2 linked regions of the Xenopus tropicalis genome follow. The protein of the gene in region 1 interacts with the protein of each later gene in a pairwise test. Links are inferred from orthologs where the notes say so. Each region holds a gene or a part of one and is shown in the gene's direction. Other genes may lie near its edges.

What was found. The genes of interacting proteins can lie anywhere in the genome.
Region 2: the proteins of vesicle-associated membrane protein 5-like (region 1) and ergic3 interact in binary tests that used the Homo sapiens proteins (3 or more experiments, as listed by UniProt). The link is inferred for Xenopus tropicalis from reciprocal best matches to the Homo sapiens genes VAMP5 and ERGIC3.

The regions. Positions count from the first base shown.
Region 1 is NC_030679.2:125,676,241-125,680,425, forward strand, and holds vesicle-associated membrane protein 5-like, read left to right. Parts: upstream 1-1,376; 5' UTR 1,377-1,527; coding exon 1,528-1,659; intron 1,660-2,020; coding exon 2,021-2,158; intron 2,159-3,377; coding exon 3,378-3,557; 3' UTR 3,558-4,068; downstream 4,069-4,185. UniProt on the Homo sapiens protein: May participate in trafficking events that are associated with myogenesis, such as myoblast fusion and/or GLUT4 trafficking.
Region 2 is NC_030686.2:42,542,346-42,546,636, forward strand, and holds the start of ergic3 (endoplasmic reticulum-Golgi intermediate compartment protein 3), read left to right. Parts: upstream 1-1,480; 5' UTR 1,481-1,532; coding exon 1,533-1,620; intron 1,621-3,911; coding exon 3,912-3,982; intron 3,983-4,291. UniProt on the Homo sapiens protein: Possible role in transport between endoplasmic reticulum and Golgi. Positively regulates trafficking of the secretory proteins SERPINA1/alpha1-antitrypsin and HP/haptoglobin.

The DNA.
Region 1 (4,185 bases):
GCAACTGTTATAGCCCTGCAGCACAATCCATCCTTATTAGGCACAGGCCACCATTGAAGGGTATGGGGCCCTAAATGAGTAAGTTAACAGGGCTCACCCCTCTAGAGGGCTCTAATTATTAGCCAACCAGTCACCTGGGTCTCAATGGGAGAAGAAATTGGAGCAATCTTATAATTACTGTGGCTAAAGGTGGGAATAGTCAAAAATTAGCGTGGCGGTTAACTATGTCTCGGTTTTTTTATTTCCAGATGTTGGGAGGTATGGGTTTGTGATCTAAAAATCAGTGTAGATTTAATGGTGCATTTTTCTTTTTTTTATTATATGCAGCTTGTAAATTATCAAGCTTTTTATTCAGCTGCTCTTTAGTTTGGATTTTCAGCAGCTATCTGGTTGTTAGGGTCCAAATTACCCTAGCAACTAGGCCAGGGGTGGGCAAACTACGGCCCGCGGGCCACATCCGGCCCCGTGGCCTTTTTAATCCGGCCCGTCGACGATGCCAAGTCTCATCATGCGAGACTTGGTGTCATTGGCGGGCCGGAATTAAACAGACTAAGGGGGCGTAACGCTGGCCTGGCCCTGCCCGCCCTGGCCCGGGGGTAAGTAAATATGGCCCGTGAGCCAAAAAGTTTGCCCACCCCTGAACTAGGCAGTGGTATGAATAAGAGACAGGAATATGAAGTGGAACAGGAATATGAAACATATGAAATAGAAATATGAGGACTTAGAAAGATAAGTAATAAAAAATAACAATTGTTGCATTTAAAAGCTGGAAAGAGTCAGAGGAAGAAAGCAAATAATTCAAAAACTATAAAAAATATTAAATTTGAAGACCATTTGAAAAGTTTGAAATAACTGGCCATTCTATAACATACTAAAAGTTAACCTTAAGGTAAACTACTGCTTTTATTGTATAAAAATGATGAATGTACCAGTGAATTATACTCCTAGATATAGAAGGATTGTGCTTAAAAAAGTTGTGTTTCTGACTGATTTATTGAGAAATTCCCCCAAAACCCCACTAGTCCCGCCCATCTGTGCCACTTCCTGCTGGCTGAATTCTCTGGGTGAGCTGGGGAGCCGGCGGCTCTCAGTACACTGCATTGTAGGATAGGAACCAATCAGCAGCTAGGCTGACCTGATAGGGAACTGAAGCCTTTCTTTGCTTGCGTGAGTGCAGGGCTGTGATTGGCTCTCCCCCTCCTGCTGTGCTTCTGGCAGGGGCTGTTAGGACACGCCCACCCTTCATTTGAAACATGGACAGAGAACTGATAGGATCTATAGGGAGCTCCAATAAAGGGGCCATTTTTACAGAGAGGATTAATGTTTAGCCTAAAGTGAAAAAAGCACCTTATATTATTCATTATTGCCTACAAAATTAGAGGTTTTTTCCGTGTATCCTATATGTCTCCTTTAACAGCCATCAAGTTGCCTGCTATGCACACTTTAATATTTATACAGAATCCTTCAATCGGCATTATGGGCCTTCTTGGAAAATACCGTATTTTACCATCGATCCCGTAGGAGTGGATGATGAGACAATGCTATTCTTTCCTGGAAGGGCCATTACAACAACATCTGTGTTTGGAAAAGGAAAACTTTACCGTCACAATACTCAGCCATTTAATGGCATCTCCCACTGACCACCTGACAGGAAATAATGTAGGTTCTACCATAACAGGAAGTAGTGTGTTTGCTGTCCATTGACAACCTAGCGGTGTATGTGTGCCTGTGTTTGTGTGGGAGCACAGTTCCTTATATGAGCCAGAAGGAGGACTTTAGTTGGTAAAATGGGATTATTCCATAGTACATAATACTAGAAAAGTATATTTTTCATGCAAAGCCTTTCTTTATATGAAACATTGGATTACACATTGGCTGTTTTATGTGATATATTTTTACAGAAACCTGCATTGTACAGTTTCCCTTTACTCCCAAAAGGCCAGTGCTCATGTGTGATATAGTTCTATTATCATGGACTTCCTTAGAACCCTCACAGCACTCTCTGTTTTTCCAACCCCAGGCGAGCAACAACCTGGAATTATGTCAGCGCAACGCAGAGGAGGTGAAAGTCTTGATGAAAAAGAATGTTGACACGGTCATTGAGAGAGAAGGGAAGATCTCTGACCTAGAGGATCGATCCAATGATTTGCTTAACATGGTATGTCATGGGACAGGCCGTACGTACATGCAGTGGGCATACACACTTCTCTTTCCTGTGTGCAGCCTGCTGTGGCACACTTTTCATTCCCTTGCTTCACGTTTTGTATCCAGTTTCCCTCCCTTTGTATGCTGAGCGCCTTCCACACCCCTGTCATTATTCATACAGAACTGAGCTTGCTGCCACCCACCCCACTGTTAGTGTTTTGCTCCCCTAACATCAACATAGCTGGGCAGATGGGCATAACATTTGGAATTACAGTTCTCTGATGCCCAGCCATTACCTGCTTGCTTCAGAGCAGTGCAAAGCAGCCATGAAAGCACAGGTGGGAGCCAACTCGCAGCAGGAGTGCTTTGCTTGCAGGTGGAAAATAAACAAAAAATCTCATGTTAAACAACTCATGTAATAGATACACAATTTGAAGGAAACCAAATGTATTATGTATATTTATAATAGCTAAGGTTACTGTCTTGTCACTGTCTAGGACTGCCATGCAACTAGGGAAACAGGCCCATAGTGTCTTGTTCTGCCTTCAGTTCCCAGGCGTAACTCTGTGGCCCCAAAACTGTGTTCCTTTCATTTCCTGATGTGGATATAGTTCATCTGTCAGGTTCATTTCAGTTAAAAAGCCTATTCTGATTTGGCCAGTGCAAGCAGGTCTGGACTGGGGTTCCAAATAGACCCTGACGTTTCAAGTACACAGAGACCCAAACAGCCCCCCCCCAGCCCAATAAATAGTGACTGTCTATGGAATCTTACAGCAGCCCCTCTGGCATTTGCCTGAATCCACAGATTGTCAGTCCGGGCCTGAGTGCAAGGCTCTTCTATTGGAGACCCATTTGGTGTGCCCGGGAACTGGTATGATTAGTTTTGATTGAGCAATGTAGTACATTCCTTTGGCAGCAGGCCAGTCATACCCCCTTGAGAAACTGCAAGAGTGGGGGGAGACAGACGCTCCATGCAAGGAAAAAAGGAAAACATTGAGTAGGTGGGAGTGGGAAGGAAAGAACTTTATAACGTTGGTACAACGGGAGTGTGCATGTTGCAGACCTTTCATATTCCCACCTACCTTATTTAACATGCAAGATCAACACACAGCAGCGTGCATGTCTGCTTTCTGAATTTCACTAGAAAATGACCAGACTGTGGATGACAAGGATATAATATATCTGAATATTATAGAAATATTTAAAGTAGCAACTTTTTTTTTTGCACTTAGGCCTGCAACTTCCAGAAAACGGCCCAGACAGTGGAACGCCATACCCGGTGGCAGAAGTGGCGCTGGTACATCATTGCTGGAGGAATTGTAATTGTAATTGTGATCATCCTCATTGTCATTATTGTGTTGTTCACACTGCCAAACAATGAGACCCCTAATAATGCCAGTGGAGTGCATTAGATTAAAGGAAGGGTGTGCACAGGCCCAGACTGGCAATCTGTGGATTTTGGCGAATGCCAGATGGGGCTGCTGTAAGATGCCATAGACAGTCACTATTTATTGGGCTGGGGGGGGGGGGGGGCTTTTTGGGCCTCTGTGTACTTGAAATGCCTCGGCCTACTTTGAATCCCAATCCAGGCCTGGGTGTGCACCACTTACCATAAACTCTTGTAGGGTGATGGACTTTACTGCAAAGCTTCCCCTAAAGATCATAGCTCCTTGTAGCTTGTCTACCTGTACTTACCTGCAGGGTTGTACCCCATTGTTTTTTATTTGCAAAGAGTGTTGGATTACAGTCGTTTTTATTTTGCTGACGGTTGTGTTACAGTCCTTTCTGTTTATCTGCATAGAGACTTGCAGAGCACTGATTCTTTGTAACCCAAGAGCGGCACCGAGACCCTGTCTATGCCTCGAAGATGGAAATAATCCTTCCTTCACAAAAAGCACAATAAAATATAGTTAAACAAATCTATGCCCGCCTATTTCAGTGGGGAGAGGAAAGAGTTTAATGGCCTGGGGGGCAAAAGAACACCAGAGAGAGAATGGGAGCAAAGGTTCGTGGACTGGCAGGTATGCAAAAGAATGTTAT
Region 2 (4,291 bases), on another chromosome or scaffold:
ACTGGGGGTGCCGGGGTGCTGTTACTGCCCCAGCCTAAGGTTGTGGCCACTGTAAGATAATGAACAGGCTTGATATTAGTATTGCAGAGATTTGTTGAGATTAATGTGTATTTAGGCCACACATCCTATAATATCCTAGATCCCCAATGCAAATGGAACAACTTGGCTTTTTTTCCTGCACCTAAAGGGAATGAAATCTGCGGAATTTGTGTTTTCTGCTGCCTAAAACCCCAGGAGCAAGCTGTGTTTCAGCCAAACAGGGAAAGGAAAGCTACTCCATGCCTGCGGCTTGCAGTTTAGATAATAAGAATACCAGTGCATGATGGACATCCATTAATCTGTAAACAAAACAGTCACAATAAAGGGGTTGAATGGAGGGGGTTGTTTATACAAAGCTCAATATCTCTCTTATTTACAGAAGAGTAAGAAAATGTGAAATGGCTCAGGTTAATCATCAGGAAGTCAGCAACATTGAAAGGAAACACCAGACTGGCAGAGAATGCCAGCAATAAGAGGGCACAGGTGGGGGAGCAATAAAGCAGAACAGGGGTAAAGGGACTTGCCCCAGGGCACCTCAGCCTCATAAAACAGTGACAAACTGATTCAAGCAGTACAGTGGTGTAACTAGAGGTTACTGAGCCCCACAGTAAATTCAACTTAGGGCCCCTAAGTAGTGGCTTCATTATAGAGAAAGCAGACAGGGAGGGGAAGGCTGGAGAGGTTGACGTGGGCACCGGCCCCTGTAGAACATTCTTTTATGGGGGGGGGGGGGGGTAGAGAGTGATATTCTGAGACAATTTAAAATTGGTCTTCATTTTTTTTATTTGTAGTTTTTGTAGTTATTTCATTTTCAGTTCAGGAGCTCTCCAGTCTGGAACTTCAGCAGTTATTTGGTTGCTAGGGTCCACGTTACCTTAGCAGCCAGGGAGTGGTTTGGATGGGAAACCATTATATCTATAGGAGAGGGACTGAATAGAAAAGAAAGGCACACAAAGTAACAATAAGAATAAAACTGGAGCCTCACAGAGCAATAGTTTTTTGGTTGCCAGAGTCAGTGACCCCCCATCTAAAAACTGCAAAAAGTTATCAGAAGAAGGCAAATGATTCAAAAATGGTAGCAAATAAATAATGAAGACCAACTGAAAAGTTGCTTAGAATAGGTTACTCTCTCATATACTAAAAGTTAGCTTAAAGGTGAATTACCCCTTTGGGGCTTTACTTGCCCCTCTATTATGTTCCAGGGCTCCCTCTGTAGTTAGCCCCCTGAAGCAGTCACAGAGCCTGTCACAGCTTTGCTCCCCCCCTACAATAGTAGAAGCCTATAGGAGCTTAGGGGGCGTGGTCTGGTTTATGTATGAGTCGACATTCCAGTCACAGAGCGGCCAGGTTGAAATACCCGCCCCTTTCTCTGGCCGCTTCCTGCTCTCCCAATCACGTGATGCTGATGTCACACAGGATGAGTCCAGGCACAGGAAGCAGACGCTGCAGTGAGCCCAGCTAGTAGGTTTGTGTTCTCTGAGGGGCGGGGGAAGATGGAATCGCTGCACCGGCTCCGGCAGTTTGATGCCTATCCCAAAACCTTGGAGGATTTCAGGGTTAAAACATGCGGAGGGGCATTAGGTAAGCTGGGGGCATGTACAGGGGTTGCATGGGGCAAACCGCAGAGTGACAAGCTGTTTGTGGCCAAACTCAGCAGGGACACAGCTTGGGACCGGGAGAGGGCAGGACAGCATGATTTACAGAGGGAGGTTGGCAGTGGATCAGACAGGCGTCACTGGGCAGACAATAGGCTGCTACTCATTTAATGGCAGAGCTGAAAGCATTGGATTCACTGGGTAGAGAGGCTGGCACCACCTGTGTACAGGCTGGCATCACTGGGTAAAGAGGCTGGCACCACTTGTGTACGGACTGGCATCACTGGGTAAAGAGGCTGGCACCACCTGTGTACAGGCTGGCATCACTGGGTAAAGAGGCTGGCACCACCTGTGTACAGGCTGGCATCACTGGGTAAAGAGGCTGGCACCACTTGTGTACGGACTGGCATCACTAGGTAGAGAGGCTGGCACCACCTGTGTACATACTGGCATCACTGGGTAGAGAGGCTGCCACCACCTGTGTACAGGCTGGCATCACTGGGTAGAGAGGCTGGCACCACCTGTGTACAGGCTGGCATCACTGGGTAAAGAGGCTGGCACCACCTCTGTACAGACTGGCATCACTGGGTAGAGAGGCTGCCACCACCTGTGTACAGACTGGCATCACTGGGTAGAGAGGCTGCCACCACCTGTGTACAGACTGGCATCACTGGGCAGAGAGCTTCTTGCACCACCTGTGTACAGACTGGCATCACTGGGTAGAGAGATCCTTCACCACCTGTGTACAGACTGGCATCACTGGGTAGAGATTTTTGCACCACCTCTGTACAGACTGGCATAAATGGGCAGAGAGATCATTGCACCACCTCTGTACAGACTGGCATCACTGGGCAGAGAGATCATTGCACCACCTCTGTACAGACTGGCATCACTGGGCAGAGAGATCATTGCACCACCTCTGTACAGACTGGCATAAATGGGCAGAGAGATCATTGCACCACCTCTGTACAGACTGGCATCACTGGGCAGAGAGATTATTGCACCACCTCTGTACAGACTGGCATCACTGGGCAGAGAGATCATTGCACCACCTCTGTACAGACTGGCATCACTGGGCAGAGAGATCATTGCACCACCTCTGTAAAGACTGGCATCACTGGGCAGAGAGATCCTTGCACCCCCTGTGTACAGACTGGCATCACTGGGCAGAGAGATCCTTGCACCCCCTGTGTACAGACTGGCATCACTGGGCAGAGAGATCCTTGCACCCCCTGTGTACAGACTGGCATCACTGGGCAGAGTAATCCTTGCACCACCTGTGTACAGACTGGCATCACTGGGTAGAGAGATCCTTGCACCCCCTGTATACAGACTGGCATAACTGGGTAGAAAGGCTGGCACCACCTGTGTACAGACTGGCACCACTGGGTAGAGAGATCCATGCACCCCCTGTGTACAGACTGGCATCACTGGGTAGAAAGGCTGGCACCACCTGTGTACAGACTGGCATCACTGGGTAGAGAGATCCTTGCACCACCTGTGTACAGTCTGGCATCACTGGGTAGAGAGATCCTTGCACCACATGTGTACAGACTGGCATCACTGGGTAGAGAGGCTGGCACCAAATGTGGGGATATTTGTAAAGAATACTATAAACTAATATACTGATAGACTGGTACTACCATTATTCCAAGTCTTGATGGTATGGAGTCACTGGGTAGAGATAGCCTAGTGTACAGATTGGCACAGACTGGCATCACTAAGTAGAGTGGATGGTTTGATGTGTCTGGGCAGGGACGGCTTAGTGCCACATGATTCATAGATTGCCGCTAGTTATGGAGGGTCAGCCTAATAGACAGAGGCACTTAGTCATTACTGGGTAGGAAGAAGGCTGACTCCATAATGTGGGTACAGTGGGGTAGGCTGGCACCATGTGTGGTCACACATTACCACTGCAACCTGAGCAGTTTTGCAAAGATAAATGGGGGGAGGTGGTAGCGCCGGATGTTTAAAGCTGATAGAGTCCCCCAATCCACACAGACTCAAGGTTGGACCTACTAAATACTGACATAAAGGGGGTATAAGTCATTTATTTGTGTTTTCATTGGTATTAAATCAATTCACAGAGATATTTTTGTTAAACCTCCAGAGGGTGTGAATACTATAAATACTATACTATACTAATATATGTGTGTGTGTGTGTGTGTGTGTGTGTGTGTGTGTGTGTGTGTGTGTGTGTGTGTGTGTGTGTGTGTGTGTGTGTGTGTGTGTGTGTGTGTGAAGTTTCCTAATGCCTGTCCTGTTTTGTGTTTCTAGTTACAGTGATCAGTGGCCTTATCATGCTGATACTCTTCTTCTCAGAGCTCCAGTACTACCTCACGAAAGAAGTAAGAGCACCTTCTGTGGTTCCCTGTAGTTGTTGAGGTTAAAAAAGACACATATCCGGAAACTATTGTTTCCCCAATCCTGAGTGTCAGCTGTGATTTTTTTTTTTTTTTTGCAACAGGCACCCATTTAACAGCACAGCTGATTGCATAACCCCTGACAGATATAGATATATATAAAATACTGTATTTAAACAAAAGGAATAGATTATTAATTGTTTGCATAAGTGAGCATGAAATCACATGATTGTGAGTTTAAAATAAATACATGATATGACTAAGGGTGAAGACACACAGAGCTACTAGTAGCAG